Linked DNA regions of Astyanax mexicanus. The protein of the gene in region 2 binds, or shares a complex with, the protein of the main gene of each other region. Links are inferred from orthologs where the notes say so. Each region holds a gene or a part of one and is shown on either strand. Other genes may lie near its edges.

Region 1 (6,926 bases), on a different chromosome or scaffold from region 2:
CTTGTGGTCATCCATCTTCCTCTTGATTATATTCCAGAGGTTTTCTCATTATTTTCAAGTGCTCTCTTATTTTTTCCAGAGCTGTATGTACTATGCAGTGTGTACTACTTTCAGTACGGTGGTTGTGAATGTGGTTTGGGACGCAGCCTCGGCCTGTTGCGTGGTGCGGTGCATGGTATAAGTGTGTGGTTTTGGACGCAGCAGTAAACTCTATAAGACCGTACCGTACTGTACAGATGAGAGTACTATTTAGACGTGTTGCTGAGTATGGCAGTATGTGGTTTGGGACGCAGCCGTAGTAACTTCAGTTTTATGGTGCTCTGTGTGAGGTTCTAGTTTGTGTGCTTGTGTTCCTGGTGGCCGGAGATGTGCACTCCAGCCGAGTGCTCTAGGCAGTACAGAAGTTCATACTGGAACGCAGCCCGATTTTTAACTTTACCAAACTTTTTATCCTTCAGTTTCTTTTCCATCCTTGCTAAAACTAGTGCACACTATTTACGACTCTCGATACGTTTTTATTATTTTCCTTCTTTTTTCTTTTTTTTTTAAATGCACTTTGTAAATGAATTGTGGCGTCCTGCTCGACTTTATTAAGGGGGTCGGCTCCGATGTTTCTGATTTTAAGGCATTTTTAATCTGATAGTGTGTGTAAGTATTTTATGCTTTATTTGATCACTCTATCAGGTTATGGTTTATCTTGTTGTCAAATGAATACGATGAGTTTTGCCTCAGCAGATTTAAATGGGGGAAAAAAAGCAGAAATTTCTTTTTATTCTATCAACCCTTTTATTAAATATTTTTGATTTTAAGCCGTACGTCTGAAAAGTCTGTTTGGTGTGTGTTTATGTAATTTTATTTTTTAAGAAAAATCCCATATCTTCGGTATTATTATAACTGCTTTGTTTTGCAAAGTATTGAATTTTGAATTTGCGACCCTCGATGTTTGACGAATGTCTTTTTGTTTTATCCTTTTTTTTATAAGAATGAAATTGTCTTCATACTGTGCATTTTACAAAAGAAGAAGAGTCCCACTCCTTTATCTATTCATCAGCCAACCCTTCTTTTTTTAAGCCTTTTAAAAGTGTCGTCACGACTGTACTGTTTTTCTTTACTCTCTTTACTTGCTTTCATTTTCCGGGAGGAGTCCGCGGCGGCGACAACAGCATCGGTCCACGACGGGAAAGGGCACAACCTGTCTCTGCGTTCATGGACATTTCATATATATGTATACACAAATATATACACACACACACACACACACACACACACACACACACACGAACACAAACATAAAAACGACGCTGTAAAACAACGCTCCCCAGCAGAGACAAAGAGCTACACGACCAACCCGGCGCAAAAAACTCGAGCCTGGCGTTAAAAAACAGCAGCAGCACAGACTGAAGAAGAAAAACTAAAAAACAAACAAAGACTTTAAAAAGTAAACAATTGTAAAAAGGGCTTTTTTCTGTTCCCGCTTGCCGATTCGCCAGAGGCATTCCTGGTTTTGTATAAAAGCTTAGAAAAGGAAAAAACAGACCTGTACATTCACGAGTTCCTCTTTTGTGTAACTGCAGTTAGCTGTTGGCGAAATGGAGTTCTGGTTCTGATTATTGTTCAGTGATGATAATAATAAATGCCTTCGAGTTGTTGGAGTGAAACGTGCATTAGGAACACAGCAGCACGGCCGTGTCCCGATCCGCATCCATGTTCCCTTTTCTTTCTTTTCTTCCTCCTTTTCCATGTTAATGTGCCATTCCTGAGGGGCTTTCTGAGGGAGGCGGGAGTGAGGGATGACGGAGGAGCGTTTATCAGAAAATCAATAAAGGAGAGAAGGAGCGGGTCGTCAGCTCACCTGCAGACTCTGTGATTATTCTTACTCTTCAGTGTGTGGAGTGGATTTACTCTTTTACTGATGGAGAAAAAGTGAAGATTTTATATCTGTAAAAAAATAACTTTTACTTTTCTGAAGAATCTCTAAATCAGATACTACTGACCTTAAACTGGAGCATCTCTCGGTACCACTTTAAAATAAGACTACCTTTATAAAGGGTTTATCTCACCCCTGTATCTCTTCTCTCTCTTTCTATCGCTCCCTCTTAACCTCTCCCCTCTATCTCTCTCCCCACTATCTCTACCTCTCTTTTCCCTCTCTATCTCTCCCTCCTTCCATTCCAATATTTATATCATTCTAATTCCTCTTTTTCATTCTTCCATTCTCTCAATTTTTGTTGACTCTTCTGTTCTTTCTCAAACTTTCTCCCTCCTCCATTCATTCACTCCTCTTAATCTTTAGTTCTCTCTTCCATTCTTTAACTTTTTCATTTTATTTTCCATTTTTTCTTGCGCATTAATCTTTACACATTCGTTGTTTCATACATTTGCCTTCCACCTCTCTCTTATTCTCTTTTATTCAGTTTTCTATTCTGTTCATTTTCTCTCACTTTTAGACACTTTTGTAAGAATTAAACTGTGAACTGAAGTGTAGTGAGGTTGTGGCTGGATCAGAACATCAGGCTGGTCTTGTGGTCACTGTTCACCACAGCTAGTGATCCAGCAGGTAATTGGTGCCAAACCCCCACTGATCTACCACTCATATCCCCCTATAGCTGGAGGGTTATTGTTGATGTTCAGCACAGGCGTCTGTTAGCTGTTGTGTAAGAGCTGTATGGTCGCTGCGCTTTCCTCCAGAGTCTGGGCTGGATACTCTGTGATGCTGCAGCAGCAGGTGAAAAGATGCGGAGTCTGACTTCACAGGATTGGAGGAGGCGTGTGCTGGTCTTCACCCTCCTAGTGATGGAGGAAGCTCCAGTGAGTGGGTGGGGTAATTGACCTTCTAAATTGGGGACAAAATAAGATAAAATTAGAAATAAGTAAAAAATAATAATTTGTGCATTTACATTTTTTTATTATTATTATTTAGCTGTTTACATGAAAATATATATATATATTAAGCTATTTCCACATGTTCAGAAACTGTCCACCCTTCCGTCTTAGAGTAACTCCGCCCCTTTATACAGGTAACCTTTAACATAAATGAAATCACAACATTCATAATATTATATTTTCAAGAAGCTGAAGACACTGCTGCATGTTCAGCAATTAATAATATTAATTGAACTAAATATTGATCATATTGGCTTTGTATTAGCGGAGAGAGGGCTGTCCACCCTGTCGTAGTTAAATATGAAGGTAATTAAAAGAATTGTAGGAACTAAAATACCAATATCAGTAAAATTGCCCTCCCTGTTGTACAGTTTTCCATAAAAGGATGAATGCATTAAGAACAGAAAAAAAGTTAAAATAAAAAATAATTAAGCTGCAAAAGATGTTTGTGTGTATTATAAAGTCTTATAAATATGCTAAACAAGTTTAAATGTGTAGGTAAATCTGCACATGTAGTAAACAAAATTAAATATTACAAATAATGTGTATTTATAATAAATATGTATGTCTGAAAATGGGGGCATTTATTGGCAGTTTTTCTTTACATTGTGTTAAATGACACGATGGATGGACTAAAAGAAATTCTCCAAAATGACCCAACAATTTTTTGTTACTTAAATTATTTGTATTATTATATTGTTAAATATGTGTGTCACACCTGTTTGTATATATGTGTAATGTTTGGTTATATATGGCTACGTATAGGTCCCATACTTGAAAATATCAATTTGATTTAGTTAGTATATATGTTACATATGCTTGAATATGGAAGTATATTTTGGATACGATTTGTATTTGTTTATATCTATATGATGTCATTTCTGTTATGTATTGTCATATAGCAGATCTCTGTGGGTCAGGAATGCTGTAACTCAGTGCTGCTGTAATGCAGGCAGTGGCCGGCAGGCGGCGCTGTGTGCTTGTGCTGCAGGTCTGCTGTCGGTAATATGAGCAGCTCGTTCTGAAACACGGGTTCGGTTTAATATTGTTTCCAGTGTAAACAGAGCGAGTGTTTGATGTTCAGGGCAGAGTTTGCTGTAGAGGCTTTTATATTTCATTAATTCAATTTGTTTCCTACAGCAGCCTCCCCCAGGATCATGCAGGCTGCCACAGATTTCTACAGGATCCTACAGGTTACTACAGAATCCTACAGGTTCATGCAGGCTGCCACAGGTTTCTACAGGTTACTACAGGATCATGCAGGCTGCCACATATTCTTACAGGTTACTACAGGATCCTACAGGTTCATGCAGGCTGCCACAGGTTTCTACAGGTTCTTACAGGATCCTACAGGCTCTTACAGTCTCCTACAAGTTTTCACAGAAATCTAAAGGTTCCTACAGTCGTTACCAGGTTCCAGCAGGTTTTTCACAAGCTCTAAAAGGTTCCCACAGGTTCCTAAAGGTTTTATCAGGCTTTCACATTTTCCTACAGGCTCCACCAGGTCCACATAATCTTTACCAGGCTCCCACATGTTCTTACAGTCTCTATCAGACTCCCACAGATTCCTACAAGCTTACAAGCGTTCCTAAAGGATCCTACAGGTTCTGACAGGCTCTACCAGTTTCCTACAGGCTTTAACAGGTTCCTACAGGCTCTACCAGGTTACTACAGGCTTCCACAGGTTCCTAAAGGATCCGACAGATTTCTACAGGTTCTGAAAGGCTCCTACAAGTTTCCAAAGAAACTACAGGTTTCTGCAGGCTGCCACAGGCTTGAGCAGGCTCCCACAGGTCCCTACAAGTTCCCACATGTTTCTACATGCTGAATTAAACTCCTGCAGTTTCCTACATGCTATAACAGGCTCCTCCAGGTTAGATATGCAAGAAGTATAGAGGGAGAGAGGAGAGACTAAGGAGAAGTTTTGGGGGAGTAGCATCAGAAACAAAGGAGAAAAGTTTGAAGACTTAAAGAAAAACAATGGTTATGAAGAGGAGAGAAATTAATAAAGAGGAAGCAGTAGGAGGTAGAGAGGAGGAGAATTAAAGAGTAGGAGTTGTTAAAGAGGAGCAGGTATAGGCCATAGGACAATAGTGAGAGATGAGGAGGAGGTGAAAGAGGAGAGTAAAAGAGCAACAGTATGAAGTGAAAAGGAGGAGAAATAAAGGAGTAGTAGTAGAAGGAGGAGATTTAATGAAGAGGTTCAACAATAGAAAACAACCAACAGGAGAAGAAGAGTTAACGGAGCAGCAATAGGAGGAGGATCAATAGCAGAGAAGAGTTGAGGAGCAACATTGGGAAGCAAAGAGGAGGAGAATTAATTAGGTGGAGAGTTGAGGAGTAGGTGGGGTTGATGAGGAGGAGCAACAGAACAATAACAAGGAAAGTGAGAAATGAGGGGAATTGATGTTGATGGAGTGTATGATGAGGAGAGTTGAAGAAGAGCAACAGTAAAAAGCGAAGAGGAGCAATAGGAGAAGGGAAGTAGATGATGAAGAGCAGTAATCAGTAGCAGAGATGCACGTAAAATGAGGAGAAGAGATTATTTGTAGGAGGAGGAGAGTTGAGAAGCAAAATTGGGATGCAAAGGGGAGGAGAATTAATGAAGTGGAAAGTTGAGAAGGTGGGGTTGATGATAAGGAGCAACAGGTGGAGGAGATTTGTTAAGGAGAAACTGATGATGAGGAGCAGTGAAAGTTTTCATGAAAGAGGAAAGGAAAGCCAAAGAGGAGCAAAATATTAGGAGGTAAAGAGAAAGACAGTTTATGAGGAGGAGCAACAATAGTAGAATGAGGAGGAGGAGAAGAGTTGAAGAGCAACAATGGGAAGCAAAGAGGAGGAGAATTAATGAAGTGGAGAGTTGAGGAGTAGGTTGTGTTGATAAGGAGCAGCAACAGGTGGAGGATCAATAGCAGGAGGAGATTTGTTAGGGAGGAACCAAAGAGGAAGGGAAAGCCAAAGAGGAGCAAAATATTAGAAGGTAAAGAGAAAAACAGTTTATGAGGAGGAGCAGCAGAAAGTTGACGAGGAAAAGAAACAATAGGATGAGGAGAGATAAAGCGAGGGTGTAGCAACAGCAGGATGAGGAGAAGAGAGTAGGAGGAGGAGGAGCTGATGATGATGATGATGATGATGAAGGAGTGTAGTGCTCTGAAACCCTCATGTATTTTTCTTGGTTCCCACGCGCTCCTGCTCCAGGCTGGTGTGGCGGAGGGAGTGGTCGACACACAGAGAGAAGAGGAAGTGCATTACGCACACACCGACTTTCTCTCTCTCTCTCTCTCTGTTTCTCTCACTCTCACACACAGGCGCACTGTTGCACACACAGCAGGCTAATGTGATTAAACAGACCCAGACGCGGCGCGAGCGGCTCTGAAGGCGACTGAGCGTAAAGTGAGAGCTGCAGCCGGGTTCTCGTTTACAGCTCTGAGTGATTTTACTGTTTGTTTGTTTTTTTTTTTCTTATTTTCTACTCTGGATCATCAATCAAGTTCTGCTGGATTGATTTGAGCTGGTAAGCTTTAATCTTATTTACTTTAATCCTTTTTAGAGCACTACTGTTCACTCAGAGCACCAGCAACCAGCACGGTTCCTGTAGTTTAAGTTTGTTTTTAACAACCTCTTCTAAATTCTGAAATGCCTTAAATTAATTCCAGTAATTCCAGTGGGTTGTTTATTTATTTATTGTTCTTATTATTATTTATTTTCAGGGTCAAGCAATATCCCAAAGTATTATGCGGTCTCTCCAGTGCTCAGAGTCCTGTAACGGCGTGGAGGGAACACTCTCCAGCATGAACTGAACACCCACCTGTTTTTATATTGTGCTTTATTTTGTGGACTCGACACCACCTGTGATCCAAACCAAGACTGATGTAAAAGCTCTCAGCTATGGGGTGTGAAAATATGACCATTGCAATGGAGGGCGGAGGGGCGTCACCCTTGATGCAGGCGTCACTGGTGGTGCTTGTAGTCCTGCTCTTCCTCCTGACTGTTTCTGGTAACCTGCTGGCGGTGATCGCCGTGTTCACCAGCCGGGCGCTGAA
Region 2 (6,924 bases):
ACATACACACACAGGGGGGAGCGCTGAAACACGGGTATAAAACGCCCCCGTTTGTCGCGGTCTAGAGGGATTCAGATCCGAGTGGAAAATGGTAGGTTTATCTTAACACTCGAGACTCGGGGCAGAGCGCTAAGCCGAGCCGCTATATCCGCACAATCACAGCACCCTAAACATCTACCAGCCAGACATCTGAACACAACGATACACTGCCGCGATCTGACCGTCCACCTTCCAGCTCACTGCGCTACACAGGATTTATAATGTGCACTGGACACGCCACGGTAATGCAGCAGCAGCACAGCATTAACAGGCCCGTATATGACAGAGAAAAAGAGCACGACTGGACGGCTCTTCTGTATATATAAAGAGCTGGGGGCTAGTGCACTGTACACGCACAAAACGCGATCTGTGCGGGGCTCAGTTTGGGTGTGATAGCTGCGTGAAAAATAAAAATGGCCGAGTGAACACCAAGTTAGGGTGTTAGCTAGCTACCATCCCCCTCCCACCTCCACCGCCCCCCAGCCTTGCCACCACCTCCCCACCCCCATTTCTCTCTGTGTGTGCATGATTCGCTCAAATCATAGCTAACGCTACATAACCCACAACCCACAATCACTAGAAGGCCTGCTGCTGTACGGTTCACCTTGAATATGGAAGCCAATCATAGCAACTATACATAGATAACGTTACACAGAATTATGATGAGGATCTTGTCAATTACATACCACAGTGAGTTCTGCTCCAATTAAACTAACGTTAAATGAGAGCAAAACTGTAATAATGCAATGTACAGTCAGAAAGGGCTTTAGGCTGTTGAATACACAAGCTAATGCATCAAAAATAGTAGTTAACCTAGCTAGGATAAATCTCAGCAATAGACTAGCTAGCAAGCTAACTAGCTAAGAAGCCTCTCTGTGTGATATCAGGCTACAGAACGAGGCACACGCACACACACCTACCCACCCTGTCTTTTACACAAAACGCAAAAAGCTTAAACATGACGAGAAAGGCATGGCCATATAGCTAATTAGCTAGCTAAAATGTACATCATTTAAATGAACTTCTAGCTAGTAAGCTAACTAGCTAGGTCAGCTAGGTTAGGTTAGCTAACCTAGCTAACCTATCTAGCTACCCACCCTGTATTTTACATAAAACGCAAAAAGCTTGAAAAGGAACAGAAAGACATGGCCATATAGCTAACCTAGTCAGCTAAAGTGTACAAATACTAGCTCCTAGCTAGTAGAATAGTTTAGCTAACCTAGCTAAGCTAGCGTTTGTACAGCAGAATGGTGTGGCCCCGAGATAATAATGTACAGGCTGCAGTAGTTACATAGTTAGCTAAAGGGATGGACAATTATTTAATATCAACATACATATAAAGAAAATGTGTCAATAATGGTGGTATGATGATTTTAAATAACTAGATTAGCTAGCTACATGTCTAGCATTTTAATATATAGGGTTAAGCTATCGTTGGATAATTTACTGCATCTGTCACTGACGTTCATTAACTACAGAAATAGGCAAATCCATTTTTCATGAGTTCACAGGTTCCATAGCTAGCTAACGTTACGTTTTATGTATTTGTTTTCTGTGGCTTTTAACTGCTTGTATAGACTGAAATGTTGTCACTCATTGAGACCAAAGACAAAAATTTGGCCATATCGCCCAACCCTAACTCTGTTGGTTACAGTGAGTGAGAGCGGCTCGGCTTCAGCACCATGTTATACCGAACAGCACGACCGACCGCAGCCAGGCAGGCGTTTCCTCCCCCCAAACCGAGCCGAGCAGGCGCGTCGATCGGTTAGCTAACTAGCTAGTTAACCTAGTACATACAGTGAATGTGTGACATTCTTCATAATATGGCGGACCTTAGCTAGCTAACCTAGGCAAGCTACTAAAAAATGTTTGCGTGCATGTAGGCTAGCTAACTAGCTTTTTTTTGCGTGACTGTGTGTGTATATGCTTGTGTGTGCGCGCGCATGCTCGCGTCCAAGACACACACACTTTAAAAACCGAGAAATCTGATTTACACCATGGCACTTACTTCATTTGTTTCACGATGGTGCTTTTACCAGACTCCCCAGCTCCTGTAAGACACAAGAGACAGGAGGGAATCAGGACTGTAGTTATATGGTAATATTATAAAAAAAAAAAAACATGAAATCAGGATAAATCCTAAAATTATAAACGTGTAGCCGCATATAGAGAACGATATGTAACTTAGCTAGGTGAGGTTAATTATGTTAACGTCAGATTGATCTCTGAGCAAAGACTAAAGATTAGAGACTAGGTCCACTCCCTCCCACCCTCCCACCCATCCATCCACCCAGTAAAGAGGGAGAAAAGAGAAGGTGCGTTAACCAGCCTTACCCAGCAGCAGCAGTTTGACATCCTTGGCCGCAGTGATTCCATCCTCTTTCAGGTTTTTCTCGATGGCTTTGCTCCTATCCAGAGCCGCTCTCTCTTCGGCGCTCAGTGTACATCCCATGACTAGGCGGACCGCAGGCTCTTTCTTTCAGCTCCGAAACCGGCGAGAAGCGACGTGCGAGGGGGGGAAGCGAGCGAGCACTCCGTGGTTTATTTTTTATTTCACCTCGAGATTTCTTCCCTATCTATCTCCTCTACCTTTCTCTCCTAGCGCTCTCTCTCTCTCTCTTTCTCTCTCTTTCTCTCCCTCTTTCTCTCTCTCTCACTCACACTCTCTCTTTCACTCGCTCACTCACAACGACGGCTCTAGCTATAGCATTAAAAGAAGCAGAAAAATCCCGCAAAACGACACGAAGACACGCAGCCTGGTGGAGATAACCTAACCTAGCTGTATAAGGAGCTGCTTCTGCTGCTGCTGTAGGTGAACCGGCTCGGCTCTCCGTCTCTCTTGGTCGTGTCGGTGGTTCCTCGGGCGGAGGGGGAGCGGTGGAGGGGAGGGGGTCTATCTATCTAGCTCTATCTGTCCTTTTCTACTGGGCGGCGGCGGCAGCAGCGGCGGTAGTGGCGGTGGAGGCGGAGGCGAAGACGGCGACGGCTGCTAGCATCGTTTAGCTCTGCTCACAATGGAGGGTCAGCGAGGAGAGAGAGAGAGCGCGCGAGCGAGAGAGCGAGCGGGAGCGCGCGCGCCGAGCACGTTAGTTACGTGTTTTTTTTTTGTTTTTTTTTTAACCTCCCCTTGCTTTTTCCCGCCCGTTTTCCGACAAGCCCCGCCTCCCCCGTGCTGTGATTGGACAGCGGTTTAAGCGTCGGGATTGGCTGGTCTTTCTTTCACACTAATATGTATAGCTGAGCCAGGCTTTGACATTTGCTTGTCAGAGCAGACAGCCAATCGTATAGCTCAGAAAACCGAGAAGAATAACCAATCAGAAAAAGGCAAAGGATAGAGCGAGAAAAATGAAAAACGAAAACAGGTGGGAAACGAAAAAACCGTATCCTCCACAGTGACGTCAGAACTGAAGAGCGAGCGCGAGCAGCATCCCCGTTCGTTAAATAAACGCTAAGCTAAAAATCCTGCACCAAGGTTTTCTTCTGTACAAAGATACAGAAGAAGAAAAAATTAGCCCCTCAAGCCCCACAGATTCGCAGTAAGGAGCATTGTGTTCACTAGCTGGTCACTAAATCAACGCGTTTGACCGATTTAGAGCGAAAGAGCGACTGAGAGGAAGAGAGGAATCACGACAAGGTGTGGCCAACAGCAGAGCTAATGCTAATGACCTGCAAAATCAACACACGAAACAAACAAATAAATAAATAAATCCGAGCAAAAGCGTCAAATTCAACAGCTGGCCATCTTGCCTTCGTCACATCCTCCCTCCACTCTCATGTGAGGCAGCGTTTAAATGTCAGCATGCTTTCTGAAATACAGACACTTCAGCTGTGGTGGTGAAAGTGAAACAGCTTATAGTAATAAAAGAACGAATATGTATGTATTATTTTACAGGACTCAGACACACAGTTTGCAGACAATTAGGTGAAGTTAGTTTAAAGGACCAATATGTAGTATTTGTATTTTCACCACTAACCCAATAAATTATATCTGTGGCATCACATGTTAAGGAAAAAATCCTTAAAGTTAAATCACTGGCCTATCTTTACAGCAGTGCTTTAGCTTGGTTCGATAATCTATTCTTTGCTGAATTGTCCAAGATAAAATTGAAATCTGTTTCTTTTTCTGATGCAGATATTATCTTATGTACAAGTGTTTACTCCTGTGGCTTTAAAACCCACAGACTTCTTTTCCATTTCAGCTGAAGCACCAAAACAACACAGTCTGTCTGTAGCTTTGCAGTACTGTTTTAAAAAATATCTGAATTTGTGTGGACAGGCCTTGTCTGTGGGGACTATTACTTGTACAAAGTCCTGCATATATTTGTCCAATATTTTAATTAAATCAAATTTAAAGTATTTCACACGTTTCACATCCACAATCTTGTTAAAACTCAGGCAAAACAGTGTCTCAGGCAAACATAGATTTTTTAGAGGTACACTTAAAATAGAGGGATGTAAAATCGACTGTAACCACTATATTAACCATCATTGCTTAATGTGTAGTTTGAGTGTTGTATGGGCATTTTCTTTATAACATTCATAAACTATTGCTAATAGTTTGTCTCATTTGCTATCTAGCTAAATTTTCTTTTTCAACATAAATGGTGCAACAGATGACAGGGGCTACAGCATTTAAGATGGAAATAGGGAAAGAAAAGCAAATAAAAACTAATTACAGGGGAAGGGGAGGAGTTACACTTAGAAACAGGGGCTAGGGGTACATATTAGAAATTGGATTGGGCCACAGTGTGCTGCTGCCTCTATGCAAGTAAAAATTGGCATAACGTTGGAAACTTTGGACACTTTAAGGGTTTACATTAGCAAATAAACTTACACAGTACAACTGATTTTGTTTGTTAATCGGGTGCATCTAAAAAAAATTATATAATCAAAAACTTAAACAAATTCAACAATTTAGAGCAGCACTTCATGCTTTCCTCCAATGACAAGCTTTATAGAGATGCAGCTTTCATTTCCCAACAGGACAAGAAAAGCTCAAATACCTCCAGGTCAGTTCCAACACCAAAGCTATTTTAATAAATGTTCACAATTGACAAAAAAAATCTGGGGTCAAATATAGTCCATAAATATAGCACTCTGCTAACTAGTAAACGCTTGCCCCTTAAATATCAGTCCCAAACACAAAATTGATCCTGACTCTCAGCACTACAGTAAGGTCTGTAAAGCCCCCAACAGTTTGACTGGCTCACAACAGCTTCAATTTGGTAGATTCTTCTACAGGTGACTCTACCTGCCCTTTAAACCTGTAGCCCCGCCTCTTCTCTAATTAGACCATACCAATGTTACAGGTAGGGGTAACTGTAAAGTATACACACATACATACATACACACACACACACACATATTAATGTCAGCATTATTTACAGCTGTACATACTTTAAGACATGTCTCTGAATGGTAAGCATTATCACATATTTTTTGTACCTTTAACTCTAACTTAAATCTTTTCATTCCCACAGGTGTTCCAGAAAGGAGTTCCCTCCCATCCTGTAGTAAATCCGGACCCCCGAAGAATCTTCAAGAACCGGAGCTAAATGGCCGCCATTTCCTTAGGAATCCCCAAGGATAACCAGATGCACCTGTAGCAAGGTTCTTACACCACAATCTGGGGAGGAGGCGGTGGGACAGACAGCTCCCTCCAATAAATTAAAATCAGCCTAAGGTACTTTTTTTTTTTTTTTTTTTTTTTTTTTTTTTAGCATTTTGCATGCTTGCTGTAGTTAAGTACATATTGTTCATTTAAATGTCAGCCTGCTTTTTGGAATCAAGCCAGTTCTGCAGTGTAGAAAGTGAAACATCTAAAAACATATCTGCAATGAATGTTTCACATGACCCAGTTACACAGTTTGCAGATAATGAGTGAAAGAAAGGTTAAAATAAACATTTGACACCCTGATTCAGAGCAAAAGCTGAATGCAGTTCAGAAGAATAGGAAACTTTGGTTAATCACCTCACATTACGCTGAACGTTTCACATTGTACTGGCCCTGACACCCACATTAAACACCTGACTGCTAACTGCTGACTGCTTATTAAGTTTTCAGGGCCTTTCTGGAGCGAGGTATTCCGTTTTTGCAAGACACTGCAATAAAAGTGATGAAATTACTAAAACGAAGATCATTATTTTTCTGTCGTTTGCAAACCTTGCTAAAAACATCAAAATGACTGATTGGTGAGGTTATTCGGTCCAGACAATGACAAACATTTGAATGCAATTAATAAAATGGATCCATATGAGTTGTCTCTGTGATCCAGCCTGGCTTCCTATGAATAAGAATAAACAGTACATCAGTGTTTTCCATTTCTGGACTTTAATAGATATTTAATAGAGCAGGATTTTTCTTTGTTTAGCCAGATAACTTAAGTTCAAAGTTAAGCCCAATAAGTTTGTACCCAGAATCTGCACAGCAGAGACCAAAGACGGTTCTAGACTCACCTCCTTAATTGTTAGATCCCCACACTTCTCACAGAACAGGTGTTCTAGGGCCAATTCCATTTTGCCCCTTCTCTCTACCAATTAGCCCAAAAAAATGCAAATACCTCACTTCAGTTCTTTGTCACCAAGAGCTTTAAAAAAGAGTGGATGAGAAAGAATAATTCTTCAGCATTCAGCTTCACCTCTCAAAATGTGTACAGGTTTGGGTGTTCTCAAATCGTCCCCTTAAGTATCACTTCATGATTAATGTACTTTATATACTGCTATCCCAATATTCTTTATATGCTTTTGGAATGTCAGGCATATACTTTTTATTTTAGACCAAAACAAGTATGTCAGCCAGTCAAGTATGTTACCACTCAAGACTTTTAATCTTCACTTTATATAAAAGTGAGGAATAAAGTGGTGGCCCAATCATTGGGAGATTTT

Evidence for each region. Proteins that work in one complex are often made in the same cells at the same time.
Region 1: the proteins of gnao1a (region 2) and adra2a are in contact, whole or in part, in a cryo-EM structure (PDB 7W6P), measured with the Homo sapiens proteins. The link is inferred for Astyanax mexicanus from reciprocal best matches to the Homo sapiens genes GNAO1 and ADRA2A. Residues at the interface, in NP_066268.1 of Homo sapiens: Ile28, Lys32, Lys193, Asn194, Leu195, Asp218, Phe336, Thr340, Asp341, Ile343, Ile344, Ala345, Asn347, Leu348, Gly350, Cys351, Gly352, Leu353, Tyr354; in NP_000672.3 of Homo sapiens: Arg77, Arg146, Ser149, Ile150, Ala153, Ile154, Asn157, Leu158, Arg160, Pro162, Ile234, Ala238, Arg241, Arg383, Arg386, Phe387, Val390, Leu391, Phe444, Asn445, His446.

What each region holds. Positions count from the first base shown.
Region 1 is NC_064430.1:22,226,209-22,233,134, forward strand, and holds the start of adra2a (alpha-2A adrenergic receptor), read left to right. Parts: upstream 1-3,919; 5' UTR 3,920-6,397; intron 6,398-6,593; 5' UTR 6,594-6,771; coding exon 6,772-6,926. UniProt on the Homo sapiens protein: Alpha-2 adrenergic receptors mediate the catecholamine-induced inhibition of adenylate cyclase through the action of G proteins.
Region 2 is NC_064416.1:26,265,333-26,272,256, reverse strand, and holds the start of gnao1a (guanine nucleotide binding protein (G protein), alpha activating activity polypeptide O, a), read right to left. Parts: upstream 3,011-6,924; 5' UTR 2,492-3,010; coding exon 2,374-2,491; intron 2,091-2,373; coding exon 2,048-2,090; intron 1-2,047. UniProt on the Homo sapiens protein: Guanine nucleotide-binding proteins (G proteins) function as transducers downstream of G protein-coupled receptors (GPCRs) in numerous signaling cascades.